2 linked regions of the Schizosaccharomyces pombe genome follow. Changing the gene in region 2 together with the main gene of any one other region gives a genetic interaction. Each region holds a gene or a part of one and is shown on either strand. Other genes may lie near its edges.

Evidence for each region.
Region 1: mutations in rhp26 (region 2) and rhp7 impair growth when combined (synthetic growth defect), as found in Schizosaccharomyces pombe (2 studies listed by BioGRID, with this or other methods).

The regions. Positions count from the first base shown.
Region 1 is NC_003421.2:102,663-110,345, reverse strand, and holds rhp7 (DNA repair protein), read right to left. Parts: upstream 4,667-7,683; coding exon 4,610-4,666; exon of another isoform or gene 4,562-4,609; coding exon 2,927-4,561; 3' UTR 2,498-2,926; downstream 1-2,497. Other genes in the region: SPOM_SPCC330.03C (cytochrome b5 reductase), read left to right, coding at 1-35, 175-352, 408-475; SPOM_SPCC330.19C (uncharacterized protein), read left to right, coding at 2,009-2,028, 2,089-2,341; rhp16 (ATP-dependent helicase), read left to right, coding at 4,770-7,661. UniProt on the Schizosaccharomyces pombe protein: Involved in global genome repair (GGR) via nucleotide excision repair (NER), in conjunction with rhp16, after UV irradiation.
Region 2 is NC_003421.2:1,176,767-1,185,500, forward strand, and holds rhp26 (SNF2 family helicase Rhp26 ), read right to left. Parts: upstream 5,873-8,734; 5' UTR 5,792-5,872; coding exon 2,870-5,791; 3' UTR 2,166-2,869; downstream 1-2,165. Other genes in the region: transport protein Got1, read left to right, coding at 1-14, 60-106, 187-231, 363-638; thiosulfate sulfurtransferase Tum1, read right to left, coding at 1,106-1,723, 1,781-2,059; THO complex subunit Tho1, read left to right, coding at 6,030-6,224, 6,284-7,174, 7,230-8,402. UniProt on the Schizosaccharomyces pombe protein: Involved in transcription-coupled repair (TCR).

The sequences.
Region 1 (7,683 bases), 1.1 Mb from region 2:
GGGATGCTTTAGTAGCCAGTGGAAAAAATTTATCGGTATGAAAAAGTTAAATTTCTGCGCATGGATAATGTTTTGCCTACTCTAAGAAATTTCAATGCTAATTGTATTGAAATGAGATTGATTTGGTCGAAATTTTATTGTTGTTCTATTGTGTTACTAACACCGATGCTTTAGGGTGTGGAAAGTCCCATTTCCGTTACTGCTGAAGAACTTGCTAAGCACTGTAGCCCCGATGATTGTTGGATGGCAATAAGAGGAAAGGTGTATAATGTTACTGCGTATCTCCCATACCATCCAGTTGGTCCGAAGAAGATTTTGAAGCACTCTGGCGTGGATGCGACAAAACCGTACCGTAAGTCTTATTTACAAACCTTTCTTTATTTGCAGTTTTGTTAACAACTATATAGTTAAACATCATGATTGGGTTAATGAAGAAGAGTTGTTAAAGACCTCTTTTGTTGGTTACTTGGTGTAAACAAGAAGTCAATTGCCAACGAAATTCCCTATACCCTTTGAAAACATAGCAAAGTGGAACAATATGTATCTTTGTGGGTTGTGATCCTGGCGAGAAACATATGGTTTTGCTCGTGTTCTGCTTACACCCATGTCTAAAAATTTTTTCGCATATTTTTTATGACTGATATTTTTATTATTCGGGCGCAGAGCTTTGCTATGTTTTAGTTTCAAAGAGTTCATGTTTAAATATTTAAATCTACTTAACTTTTTATCCCGCTTTGTGTGCTTACAAGAGAGTATTGTGTATGATCAGTTATAAACTTGTAGTGTATTTGGTATAAAGCTTTGATTTGTTTAAAAAATTCCGTAAAACAATGATCGCATTAAGCATTGACTAGGGTTCTTTTAATTTTAACAATCGTATTGTTTTACTGTTGTAGCCGTATTTTCAATTGGTTTTAATGGAATGAACGATGATGAGACACATAGATTAATAGTTGAGAAATTCGAGCGAGTAAGCTTGGAATTTTGATAACCAAAGAAAACAAAATCTGAAGTAATTCAGCATATCTCATTTTTTCGCTTGTCGCTCATCTTATTGATCAGCGAAGCACTTTAAACATAAATAGATCTAAATCACTTGTTCAAATGTTCACTGTATTTATTCAATCTATTCATTCTACCGGATTCAAAAAACCTTTATGTCACATAATATATATAACAAGCCCTTCAATTGCTTCTGAAACTGAGTTTAATGACTTGTTTACATAAAAGTCGCAACTGCGAATTCTTTATTCAACACAGCCAAGGAAGTTCAACATAACTAAAGTTGTTTTTAACTATGAGTTGGTTATAACACATTGTCGAATATTCATTTGTATGTATGTTGTACTATACAATGATGAAGGATGTTTTATATCGTTTGTAAGTTGAGACTGCAAAGTTGTAGTTCTGCTGTCCCCATTTCTTTAATATGTAAACTGATAATTAACCAGAATATATGTGAGTAAATAAATGTATGTTATCTGTTAGCTACGCAGTTTGATATCTGTTTTAACGATATATAGAACTGCGGTGAGTTTTTACTTGCGATCTACAATGTAGCGGTATGCGGTATGTTAACTAACAATATTATATTTATTGTTATAAGAAGTCTGTTAGTATCGGTCACCGATATAGCTCATAACTGAACTGTGAAACGAGGTTCAGTAGAAGCTCCATTTACAATCTTACTAATAGTTTTTATCAACGGGTATCTATAATACAATGTAGAGCTTGTGACATATAGAAATACGCAACATGGTGTATCATAGAGTAGTCCAGTATTGCTGACATTATCTCCGCTTTAACAATCGTCCCTTTAGCTCTGCAAAATAGATAGTATATAAGGACTAGGGCCTGCCTGGCTTAAGTGAACTCGTTTTCTGGAAGAAAGCCCATTCATTCTCTGACCATTTGCTCTATATAAATTGATATTTCACAGGTTTGAAGATAGCCTCTTTCAAGATGTATATTAATCAAGAGGAAGATAATCGCATATCTTTAATGGAGAATGGTAGTCTTGAACAAAAGGTACGTTTAATCATTCTTTTATAATAAATCAACGGCTCACTAAGTAATTCTTCTTTATAGTGAGGCTCATGACCGTAGTCGTAAACTCGAATTATTAAGCATTAGAATCAATATTTTCGGTTTACAACTCAATATTATTATTAATCTCATACCGCTTGTCTTGCTTTTTGCTTTTTTTTGCCCTTGTATATATTTTTTGCATACTTTTCTGGCGGATTGTGAGATAGCCAAATCGACTTGCATAACCAGTGTTTTCAATTGTTTGATTTTTCATATGCCCAACTTGTCGGGCGATTGGAATATTACAGTTTGAAAAGAATGTTTGCAGTTTAAAAAGGATAAATATTTATGTTTGTTTGATGAGCTTTGCGTTTCCGAGCAGCAGTAAACCTCTTTAGTCTGGCAAGCAATACCATTAGTGTACTATTCATAATCTTATGCTATATAAAATCAAGGTGATTGAAAATTACATTGCTTGATATTTGTATTACAACAAAGAGCAGCGGGATTTTTTTTTTAAAAAAAGGTAGTTAAATTGTTTGATTATGTGTAAAAATGATTCGGAGATCCATTCGTAAAGAGAGGGAATGGTAATAAAAAAATAATTCATTACCCAAAGAAATGGTTAGCTATTTGTTCGCAGACCATATCATCTAATTTGAAAATAAATAAATAAATAAAATTAAAAATAAAAAGGTTTCAAATACAAATATTCGTTAAAGAATAATATCAGAAAGACACAAAAAGAGATTGAGGCTGTTCAAGGAACTTAGTGTCCATCAAATAAGGTGATAATTTAAATAATGTACTAGTCATTAAATTTTTCAAAAGAATAATTACAGGTCCAATTCAACAACCAAAACCTTTGATAAAATTGAAAAAGAAAGTATTTCCATCCTTATTGAACTTCACGCCCTATCAGAAGTAACCGATTTGAGGGCATCAGGACATGATTATCTCCCCATACCAAAAGCTTCTCAAGCGTTGGCTTTTTGCTTTCAAAATCGCATACCAATTTGTCATTCATTCCACGAATCCAGCTGACATCAAGTGCTTTTAGCATAGGTAATGGAAAATTGACAATATACTGTAATGCTTCATCAGTCACAAACGACATTCCATTTAAATCCAGAGTGCGAAGCGTATGCCCTGAATTAACCAATACTGCACGAACAGTTTTATCTCCAAGTGACAGACACCTTCTTAAGGACAATGTTTCTAAGCCTGACTGAATCTTCCATTCACCAAAAACTATAGAGGCCTCATCATCTGTTAACAGTTCCAAACCACTTAAATTTAGATGCTTAAGACGACCACAACAAGGACCTATACCTTGTTTCAAAACTTCATCAGTTAATTTTGTACAACCAGATAAACTAAGAGTATGCAAACCGCTTCCAATTTGGTTTAGTACATCTAATATACTTCCATCATTAATGATGCCGCCTGGTGATTCAATCTTCAAACTGACAAGATTTCTACAACCAGCTAATAGACGGACGCATTCATCATCAAGATAGAAAATTCTAGAGAGATTAAGGCTAATCAAATTTGGGCAACAGTCAACTATAGCGTTGATAACCGAAACATGAATTCGGGCAGTATCCGTAAGCTCTAAACTTATAAGCTTTGAACCCCGTTTTTTAAAAAAATTTATCCATTCTGAGGAAGAAACCAAAAAGGCACCTTGAAAAGATACATCTGTTAATTCAGTCAAATGATCCGCATAAAAGTGTAAAACTTGATCCTGCATTTGACCACAATAAGTAAGATGCAAAGTTTGAAGATTTGGGCAGTATTGAGCAATTTGGAAAAGTGAATCTGCTGTAATCTTTGAGCAATCATATAGTTTTAATTCAGTTTGACCCCCACTTAAGAATAATTTCACAGTAGTATCGTTAAGAGAGCGGTTTTTTGAAATTATTTGGCTAATTTTGTCCATATTCACTTGGCCAATATCCCCAAAAGCTTCGATATCATTTATGTATTCAGCAATAACTCGTATACACAAATCCTGAAGCTTAGGAACACTGATTTCTTCGTCCATGGTAGCGGCAGCCACCTTTTTACGGGTCAATGCTTTTCTTTTTCTCGTCCTTAATTCAGGTACCGATCGATCTTCAGCACCACGACTACAAGGATAACATAGCCACCCTTTCTCTGAATTGCTGTATTTGCTGTATGGGGTTATTGTAAAGCGACAATTACAGTGTGCGCAAAAATCTAGTTTGCCCGTATGCTCCCTTGCTTTATAAGAAAACCCAGCTCTTGAATTCATTGAAAAAGTGTCCTCGTTGTCTTCAGCTTCTTCATCCGTTTTCTTCTTCTTTTTTTGATTTCGTAGATTTCGTCGTTTCACTACTGGTATCTCAATTGTCGTTGTCGACATCGAGTTTTCATCTTCGTTGTTTTCTTCAACAGAAGTCGGTGTTTGAATAACTTCTGATTCTGTCCCAGTCGATTGCCCTGCTGACTCCTCGCTTTGACGAGGAGGACGAGCACGTCCTAATGCTGAAGCATTGATACCTTGAGACTGAATAATGCATTAGTAACTCCGAGCTAAGAAAGAGTCATCACATACTCTTAAAAATTCTGTTAAAGCAGAATTTGGCCCTCTCACCCGACTTCCACTTGACATTTTAAAGAAATCCTTAGTATGCTGAGGATAAGGTGGAAGTGTGGTTGAGTTTAATTAAATCGCTTCAGATCGCGTGGCAACTTGTCTCATACCAACCACTACTATGCATATATCTACTCTAAAAGTGGACCAATTACAAAATGAAGCTGTAGATATTAATTCAAACGATACAATTGATTCCATAAATTGGAAAAATACTCGCAATAACCATACTACTCAGGCGTCTCTTCAAGCAGACAATAATGATGAGCAAAGTAATGGGCAGGCTCCATTTTCTACTACTTATTCAGAGATAAATAACATTCATGATGTACCAGGCAATCAAGATGAATGGTCATCTTCTCCCATTGCGGGCATTATTGTAGAAAGTGAAGATGAGGAAGTGGTTGAAAACAATTTACATTCACAAATGGGGACGTCATGTAATAAAATAAACTCGAATAGTAATAAGGGAAAAGAAAATATGCATTTTGTTCTAGATGATAATGGTGATTCAAAGGGGAATGCTTCAAATCAACAAGTCGAGCGTGACGACAAGTTAGATATGGAGACAACGCGCTGGAACGGAAAAGAGTTTGAAGAACCTCTGTCAACAAACAAAAAATTGATTATCCAGTCAAACAACACCTCATCTCAACATTCGACACCCCCATTATCCATTTCTGATACCAGTACACACACCGGTAGCAGCACAGACAATGTAGAAGCAAATCCCAATACAGGTTTTTCTAGTGCCAGAAAACGTTCATTAAGGTCCTCGAATTTGAAAAAAAAGTTTGTGCCATTGTCATCTCCAGAAGAATCTAATGAATCCGAATTTATTGATGATGATGAAAGTGATGAAGTTGCTAGCATAATTGATATCAAAGAGGATGAAACTTTTGATAGTAAAGTAGAAATTCCAGAAGCTGCTCCAAGTTCTTCTACGGAAAGTGATGAAGAGTCAATCCCTTTAAGTTACCAGTCCAAACGAAGGAGGGTATCCGCTAGGGCTTCTTCTTCCGCGTCCTCTTCCTCTAGAACACAAGCAAAATCAATTCCATCACATGAAAGAACCCATTATCGTCTGATTCGACAACATCCTGAACTAGAACATGTTTGGGAGAAATTGGAAGAAGAAGCACCTCGTGAAGTGAAACAGATCGAGCAACCCAAAGAGTTGGTCCTAAACCTTCTCCCTTTTCAACGAGAAGGTGTATATTGGTTAAAACGACAAGAAGATTCCTCTTTTGGTGGAGGAATCTTGGCCGATGAAATGGGTATGGGTAAGACTATTCAAACAATTGCGTTGTTGCTTTCAGAACCTCGAGGTAAGCCAACCTTGGTTGTTGCTCCGGTTGTAGCAATTATGCAATGGAAAGAAGAGATTGATACACATACCAATAAAGCACTGAGTACATATCTTTATTATGGCCAGGCTCGTGATATTTCAGGAGAAGAGCTTTCGAGCTATGATGTTGTACTAACGAGTTACAATGTAATTGAATCAGTTTACAGGAAGGAACGCAGCGGATTCAGAAGGAAAAACGGTGTTGTAAAAGAAAAGTCATTACTTCATCAAATGGAGTTTTACCGAATTATACTTGATGAGGCCCATGGTATCAAATCAAGGACTTGTAACACTGCCAGAGCTGTTTGTGGCTTAAGAACGACAAGAAAGATATGTCTTTCAGGAACACCTTTGCAAAACCGTATTGGAGAATTATTTTCACTTCTTCGGTTCCTACGGGCAGATCCTTTTGCTTACTACTATTGCTTGCAATGTGAATGTAAATCTCTGCACTGGAGATTTTCCGATAGAAGTAATTGCGACGAATGCGGCCATAAACCAATGAGTCATACTTGCTATTTTAACGCTGAAATGCTAAAACCAATACAAAAGTTTGGATACGAAGGTCCAGGAAAGCTAGCTTTTAAAAAGGTGCATTCTTTATTAAAACACATTATGTTACGTCGAACAAAATTAGAGAGGGCTGATGACCTTGGATTACCTCCTCGAGTCGTTGAAGTGAGGAAAGATTTATTCAACGAAGAAGAGGAAGATGTATACCAATCTTTATATATGGATTCAAAAAGAAAATTTAATACATATCTTGCTGAAGGTGTCGTTTTGAATAATTATGCAAACATTTTCCAGCTAATTACACGAATGCGCCAAATGGCAGATCATCCTGACCTGGTGTTAGCTAGCAAACGAAAAACAGTTGATATTGAAAATCAGGAAAATATCGTCTGTAAGATTTGTGACGAAGTCGCTCAAGATGCTATAGAATCACGTTGCCATCACACATTTTGTCGACTCTGCGTTACGGAATATATCAATGCAGCTGGTGATGGAGAAAATGTCAACTGTCCAAGTTGTTTCATTCCCTTAAGCATAGATCTTAGTGCCCCTGCTTTAGAAGATTTTTCTGAAGAGAAGTTTAAGAATGCATCGATTTTGAATAGAATTGATATGAATAGTTGGCGTTCATCTACAAAAATTGAAGCATTAGTTGAGGAGCTTTACTTACTTCGTAAGAAGGACCGAACACTGAAGTCGATTGTTTTCTCTCAATTTACTTCTATGTTAGATCTCATTCATTGGCGACTTCGAAAAGCCGGGTTTAATTGTGTAAAGCTAGATGGTGGTATGACCCCCAAAGCGAGAGCAGCTACTATTGAGGCTTTCAGTAACGATATTAATATTACCATTTTTCTAGTTTCGTTGAAAGCAGGTGGTGTTGCTTTGAACCTTACAGAGGCATCTCAAGTGTTTATGATGGATCCTTGGTGGAATGGAGCTGTACAGTGGCAGGCAATGGATCGAATTCATCGTATTGGACAAAAAAGGCCGATAAAAGTAATTACCCTGTGTATTGAAAATTCCATTGAAAGCAAAATTATTGAACTACAAGAAAAGAAAGCTCAGATGATACATGCAACCATAGATCAAGACGAAAAGGCTTTGAACCAGCTTTCTGTCGAGGATATGCAATTCTTGTTCTCAAATTAGAATTTTGTTTTTTTAAAATTAG
Region 2 (8,734 bases):
ATCGGATTTACAGAGTATTTTTTTAATTTCAGGAAAATAAGTTTTAACTGTTTTTATAGAAATTGGGGTCGGTACGACTGCCTTGGGATTTTTGTTCATGATTATGGTAAACATGAATTCTCTTTCGCTACCAAGTGAAATGGATCATCAAATTGACAGAATAAAGTCATAATGCTAACATTTTAGGGAATTTTCATGTTTTTTGATGGACCTCTATTGTCGCTTGGTAATGTATGTTTAGTAAACAAACATCCTAAGTATATGAAGTGTCCTTAGACGTGAATTATTAACTTTCATTTCATTTCATTGACTCACATATATCAACTCTCTATTATTCCTGTATAACACTAATACGTATATAGTTATTACTGGTCTTTGGTTTTTTTATGATAGCGGGTTTCTCCAAGTCCGTCAGCTTCTTCCTTCGTAAGGATAGAATGTTAGGAAGCATAAGTTTCTTTAGTGGATTATTGCTTACGTTGTTTCATTTCCCCATCATAGGATTTTTTGTTGAATGTCTTGGATTTTTCAATTTGTTCAAAGTCTTTTACCCATTAATTATATCGTTCCTGAGAACAGTTCCTTATATTGGACCATATATTGACCGTTTAACTTCATACCAACAAAGTCCTGTATAAAATTACATCTTCATGCATTATTGTATTTTTATATATCCAAAAAAAAGTCCTAATAGGGAACCATTACCTTACACCTATGCACGAAATAAATCATATTAACTCTTTTCATAGAAAAGACGCAAAGTGTTTCAGTTTCATAGCCATAAAACTCACTTGAATAACACCAGTCAAAAGTGCACTTAACAACCTTTTCCAAAGGCTTGCACTTTAAAAAGAGAAACTCGTCAGTTTTATTATGAGCCTTTATTAAATTATTTTCCGGGTCTGACGTTAAACTATCGAGACAGCTACATATATATTATATAACATTTAACATTGGAAAGCAAAATCATTCAACATTTATTCGTCAACTTAACAATAAAATGAATTTGTTATTTAAAAACAAAAATCCTAATCAATACTCATAAGGTAAATCATTCACACCTTTACTTTATCTTCGTAATACATCGTTGATAACCATAGTATGCTTAAGGGCCAGTTGCTAGTAAAGAAGAATCTTCATTGGCACGTTTTCCATATCCAGACCAAGACTCATCATAAACGCGTACATCCTTAAAACCGCACTCCTTAAGAGCAGCAAACAATACAGAAGCAGTTACACCAGAGCCACATGAAGTGATTATGGGAACAGACTTGTCTGTTAAACCATGGCTAGAAAACACCTTTTCCAAATCTTCCTCAGGCTTCGGAGCTGTAATACCAGCAGCAGTGGTTTCGGTAAATGGAATGTTGATGGACGTAGGAATATGCCCACTAGCTAAACCAGGACGAGATTCGGGAACGTTGCCAAGAAACCTTTCATGAGCGCGAGCATCAACGATGTGAACGCCTGCGGCATCTGGACTTTCAATCACCTTTACAATGTCATCAAAGGAAGCAACCAGATCTTTGTTCAACTTAGCACCTTCGTAAACAACGGGCTTTGGAGTTCTAGGTTCTCCAGTTTCCAATTCAAGACCCTCAGTTTTCCATGCGTTAAACGCATTAGGAAATAAGAAAACATGCTCATGACCAAAGACTTTAAAGGTCCAGAAAACCCTAGGAGACGAAAAAAACCCTTTTCGGTCATAAATGATAACATTGGTCTAAAATATTAGTAAAATTGAAGACTAAGTAATTGGAATTTCTAAACTACTACTTACGTTTCTGTCAATTCCTAATTTTCCAACGTAAGAGGCGAATTCGTCAGCTGGAGGAAGCATATGAGGAAGGGGATTTTTGTGATCTTTAGCCTCATCTATATCAAAGTATTGAGCACCTGGAAGACGACTTTCTAAATACTCCTTCTTTCCGTTTTTAGTGTCTGTTGGCAAGTACCAAGTAGCATCCAAGAGAACGGTTTTTTGAGCATTATCCTTTAATTTTTGCAATACGCCCTTAATAGGCAAAATAAAAGAGATTTTTTTACCAACAGAGAACATTGTTTGAAGCAGAGTCTTATTTTGTTTCAGCGAACTACATAGACTTCGAATTTCAAGTAATCTTACGAAAGTACAGCGTTGGTTGCAGCTCCCAAAATTAATTAACGAGTCAAGTTTTTGGTAAAACCAAATATGTGTGTAAAAATGGTTAGATGCGGTTGCATTGCTTATATACAAATATTAATTTATATAAAATGAAAAAGTACTAGTAATAAGTTCGCCAATAAGCACCAAGACATCAAAATTTTTGAACCACTAGTTTTCTAATTAAAAGGTCTTTTCTGACACTGTCAACAAACATGACTCTAGCATTCTAATAACGTTGACAAAAGAACGTAGTAATTTATAGCTACAAAAAGGGTTGCACGGGTTGCACATACCACTAACTAAGCCGCTTTGAGTGTTCATACTTTTCTCAGCCAACTAGAAAGTTATTAACGCTAATTTTAGGTCTCAGGTAAAGCGAATTTGTCAAGTGCTTGCTTACAATAACATTAACACACTTTAACCAAGTACTTTAACAAAAGGGAAAAATGATCAAAGTAATTCCGACAGCCCTATCCTCAACATGGAATTGACATTTCCAATACTTTTCAAGCAAAGTAAACCCACCTAGTAATAAGGATAATTCCCATTCAAAAAATGAAATGATCGCGTGTCTATCAATAAATCCATAAATAAAGCTTAAATCATGAAAAACTTAATGTACAAAATAAAGGGAAATAATAATAAATAAATAAATGGGTACAAGATTGGGTCCGAAATTTTAATGGATACAGCTTACTCTAAGGCGAACTTCTTCTAATTAATTCATCGTCTCTGTTTTAGTCGGGCAAGAAGAGTGCTTGAAGTAATCGGACCTGATGGTTTAGAAGTACCAGGAACATTAGTAGATTGCTGCGGAGGTATAAGTTGACGAGGAGGTCGCCGAAAAGATGAAACTGCACGCAGAGCTTCATTAGCAACACGCGTCGCTTCTTTTTCAACCAATATGCTTTCAGTCTGGGAGGCTTCCATGATATCGTCGTGCTTTAAAGTACTCTGAATACCAGCACTAGCAAAAATATCATCAAGGACGGAATCATCCCCTAAAGTCGAATCAGAGTTTGTCTTAGTAACATTTGACTCTTGCGGTGGTTTATACTTTTCCATCGATGCAATCCCCATTTTTTCAAACACTTTGGAGCTGTTAACTTTTTTACCTTTGTCGTGAATTTTGTGCTTTTTTCGGTCACGAGCTGGAATATCTTCAGCTTCATTGCCATTTCTTGAGGAATTATCCTTTCGAAGTACTCGTTCAGATCCCAAAAACATGCTGCCTGTCTCAGTGCCCTCAGTCTTGTTATCGCCTAACGTAAACAAATCGTGCAAGTCCGTCATTTTAAAAAACCTTCTTTGTTTTGGATCTTTCAAAATTTTGTTAGTCAGAAACTGCTTAAAGATTTGACGATGATAAATTTTTTCTTCAATAGTTCCAGCAGTCATCAACCGATAAACTACTACATCTTTCTTTTGGCCCAGTCTCCAAGCACGTTCACGTGCTTGAGCATCCGTTGAGGGATTCCAATCAGGATCAAAAAGAATTACCCTGTCAGCACCAGTCAAATTGACTCCTAATCCACCAACACGAGTAGTTAGAAGAAACACATCAAAATACTCATTTTTATTAAAGTTGTCCACCAAATCTTGTCTTAAAGCAATAGATGTGCTACCATCCATGCGACAGTAATGAACATCCGGCAAATCCTTTAATCCTATTTCCAGTATGTCGAGCATTTGGCGAGTCTGAGAAAATAGAAGAGTTCTATGTCCTTGTTTTTTCCACAAAGTTAGTAATGCTCTAATAACCTTCAGTTTGCCAGACTTTTCAGGATCACCATAGTTGTAATCTTCTTTATGTAACAAGTACTCTCGAGTTACAAGATCTGGATGATTACAAATTTTTCGTAGTATATCAATTCCATAAAGCATTTGACGCTTTCCGTTCAAGATCTTTTGCATATCAGAGCCTTGCAAAAAATCTTGGTAAGCTTTCCTTTGTAAAGGAGTCAGCTTACAGAACAATACTTGTTCGGACTTCTTAGGTAAATCTGCAGCAACGTCAAGCTTCATTCTTCTAAGTAAATAAGGAGAAATTAAATCTCGAAGCATGCAGGCGCATTTATAAGCGGTTTGCACTTGAACATTTGAAGCATTGGCATAACCACCAATATTAATAGGTAAGGCAAATTGATTTTGAAATACCGGTAATGTACCCAATCTTCCAGGAAATACAAAATCAAATAAATTCCAAAGCTCGGTAAGGTTGTTCTGGATCGGAGTCCCTGAGAGGATAATCCTATTCACAGTACGGATTTGCTTACACGAAATAGATATTTCAGAATCTGGGTTTCGTATTTTGTGCCCTTCATCCAAAACACAATAACCCCATTCCCGTGGTAAAATCAAATCACCATATATCCTTAAACCAGCATATGTTGTAATTAAAATGTGGCCTCTAGTGAAGACACTTTCAACTAAGTTCTTAGCGTATCTGTGGAATGAACTTGAAGCACCTCTTAATTTTATGGAGGTTTTGCTTTCTTCCGCTTCACTTTCAGAAGCGTCAGATTCATACTGTCTCTTTTCGCGTGAAGCACGCTGTCCGCTGCCAGTAGCATGAAGAACAACAACACGTAATGGAGCCCACCATGTATGAAACTCATTAACCCACTGCTTCATTAAAGTCGCTGGACAAACGATAAGTGCAGGCTTTTGAAATTTGCCAGAGTGATGCAAAGACGAAAGGAAAGATACTATTTGAATAGTTTTTCCTAGTCCCATTTCATCACCAATGATTCCTCCGGCCTCTTGACAATAGAGTTCCCATAACCATTGTACGCAAGTGACTTGATAACGGAAAAGATGTGGGCGAATATCACCTGGGATGGTAAATCCACCCTCAAAAGTCTGTCCTTTTTTGGAAGGATGAGGTAGTAACCACTCATCTTTACCTTCAAACTCTCCTCTATCTTTATTGTTTTCAGATGCTGAGGCCTGATCTCGTAATTCCTTACGATTCGCACACCAAGCATTAAGCCTTTGTCGATATACCAAATCATCTCCATCATCTATAGCGGCAGTTACTACTTTCTCCGTAACAGCATCCACAGTTACGTACTCATCTTTTTCGTCTCTTGGAATAATCCCATGATCAATATTTGACGGCTCCGAACTCAAATGAGGTGCCGTTTCATAGTATGTTCCTTCAGACTTTATAACAGCCTCACGAATGCTAGATTCATCATCAAAATCAACTTCTTTTTGTAGTCCAGAGAGATTTCGAAACGGTGTAACCTTACCAGTACGGATGAGCTCTTGTCTTTCCAATTCTTCAGTCGAAAATGCACCTATACCAGGGGCATTTGCCGAATCTTCGTTATTAAGTCTTCTCTTAATATCATTTTCGTCTGATTGTAAACTTTGAAGAGTGTCTCGGAATTTAGATAATTGTTTGCGGAAGTTCTCCTTGACACTTATTTTTGTAAGTCGACTGTCTATACGCTCATCAAGGCGACGTATTTTTTCTTTTACAGAAGATATTTCTTTCCTGACTTTTTGAAGTCTCTTCTTTTCGATCTCTCGACTTTCATGTGCAATGTACTCACTAGCAGTATTCGTAACATCGCGTTCCAAATTCTCTTGGTCAACCGAAAAAACCCCTAAATGGGATAGATCTTCATTGACACTCATATCCTATCAATTTCTTAAATAAAGTCTCATTTTCAGACTCACTGCAAATTTAAGAAAATACTTTGTTGTTTGGTTAAGGGCAAAATTACATATTCCTTCATGCTGCTCCTGTTATAGCGAGAAGCAATGAACCACACAAAGCAATAACGAATAAATCCTTATTTCTAAATGACATTGTCAATGCTAGATAAACTCACGTTTCTGCGCGCGGATTGTATATTCGCAGACTTTTAAAGTAATGGAGGTGCAAAAGGGTTTAATTGAAGCTTTTTATAATACATATCCATTAGAAAAGGCAAAAGAACTGGATAAGAGTCCACTTTGTTCTGAATATGAATTATTCATCAAAGAATTATGGCCTTCGATTGTTGAGAGTTTTCATAACTCAACTGAGTTTGAAACGGCAATAAGATTTTGCTGTTATGAAACAGCAGTATGTGCTTTTTCCATAATGAAGTTTTCCTTAAGTTACTAATTGTTATTTTCGTGTAGCGCAAAAGTGAGATTGGATTGGAGGAGCGATTAAAATGTTTATTTGCGATTTTGGATCTCTTAGTAATAGGGAACGAAATTAACGAAAGCTTCTGTGATCACCTGTTGCCTTTTCTAATCTTGGAAGAGCTGATGGACATTCACACCGTCAACGAATGCGCCAAATTATATGAATATTTTGAAACCAGACCTAGCTTGATGAAAGGTATTGTCAGCAATCGTGGAAGAGGACCCGTTTTGCTTCGGATATCAAATGAATTACTCCGGCGTCTTTCTCGGCAAGAAAATTCATCTTTTTGTGGGCGGATCGATATTCTGCTAAGTAAGGCTTTCCCCCCTGAAGAACGGAGTGGAGCCAATTTACGTGGAGATTATAATACTGTTCATTCTTTTGGGAAGGTAGAACTGTCACCACCATCCACACCCATTTCGGACCGAACAGACCTCTCATATCACAAAAAACTTAATACCTTATTTACTGCTTATTGGGATTTGCAGTGTATGTGCTCCAACCCTCCTAAATTACTAGCAAGTGATACCTTACCTAAGTTTATAGATGCAGCTGGTTCTGCAATACAGGCATTCGAATCTATATTACAAAATACGTTCTTCAATGGGAAGTCAAACCCTACAATTGATCCAAACTCTAGCTCATTACTTTCTGAAAAATATATAACTTTGGATAAAGGATTTCCTTCTAAATATATATATTCTCGGTCGCTTTTTGAATACCAACTTTCAGATGAAGATTTCCGGTTACAGGCTATTTTACAATTAATTATTATTTTCGACTTTTTGCTTGACCATTCTAAAGAACGAATTGAAAGGAGAACTCTTGAAAAATGGACAAATAAGGCGGTAATTCCCATTGTTATTTTGTCTGACGAAGATGTATGTTCTTTTTTAGACTCGAAAAAAACTGATTTTATTGATTGCTAATATGTAGACCTCAAAGTTAAATGAATTATCCAAAGAAGCATATAGTTTCTTACATACTGCCCGGTGTGGTTCTGTGCAAAGAACCATTAAAGAAATTATACATATTGAGGGTAATTGGAAATTATGGAAAGGGCTTGGCTGCCCTTCCCTTGAAAAACCCCTAGTAGATAAAGCGGCTATTGATGAAGCTGTCGAAGGCTTAAAAAAGCTTACAAACACCCCAGTGAAATTAAGATTTGCTATGGGAAATGCTGCTTTGTCGAGGCTCTGGGAGCAGGCTGGAGAAAATACCCTTGATGATCTCAAAAAGGAGGAAAGGTACCGGATTCCATCACCTGAGAGCTTTTTATCTGGCGTTAAAGCAGACAAGTTTGAAATAGAAGAGGCAGTTAGAGATGATGACAAGCATTTCCATGAACAGTCCTTGGCAACGAAGACATGGCGTGCCTTTCGTTCAGCAATTAATAGCCATCTTCAAAACTTTTCGGATACCGGACTAGGTGATGTTGAATTGCTTTGTAATTCCATTGAGGGCAAACCGACTACATCGAAAATTACACCCTCTATTCCTCCAGCTTTTGATATTCATATTATAGAAGGAGAAGAGTTATTAGAGGAAATGAAAAAGAGGGAGAATGTCAAGCACAATTCTCAAAACTTTGCAAGTCCTATGCAAACAGATGCTGAAGGTGATATTGTCCAAAATGAAGAGGAAAAAGAAAGCGTTGAGGTTGAAGAAGGAAAACATAAAAATGACTTGCCAAAGGTATCACCTAAACCCCCAACTGAGGGTGTGGACAGTGAAGTAAACGGTGAATCTTTGGTTCAGGTTAATAAGGTTCTCAAATCAGAAGATGATAATACATCTGAAGCTTCAAAGGACCCATCTTCACATGTGAAATCTCCCGAAAATATTGAAAAACTAAAACAAAATGATGATCACTTTGAGGTCACAGAAGAAATTACTTCCACCATAAATTCTAAAATATCTGAAAAGCAAGAGAATAATGTTGCTGAAACTATATTGGAAGTAACATCTAGTCCAAAATCTTCTGAAAATAGTCAAAAGCAGTCAGAGATTACTAAAAAGCGAGGACGGGATGAGGAAGATGAACCTTCTGACCTTCATTCAAGCCCTAAAAGGCCAAAAACTGGAGAGGATGGAGAAATTGTATTATAATCATTAAATCAATTACACATATGTGATAAGTGCTTAGTTATGATTGAGTCAGAAAATGTATATATAGTTAATGTTTTGATCTAGCGTGTTTTTGTATGCGCTTATATAAAATAAAATTACATCCTTTTAGTAGAGCTACTGTAAAGATGAATTTCATTGTTTATTGATGGGTAAATTACGCTTATTTACTAAACTGCACACATTTTTTGACAGTTGAATACGTTCACATGTTCAATATGAAAACATTCTAAAGTCAAATTTTTTATTTTTCAACAAATGCAACAATAAAAGCGGGTTATAAGTACAGAACTTTTCCAATATCGATGGATCAG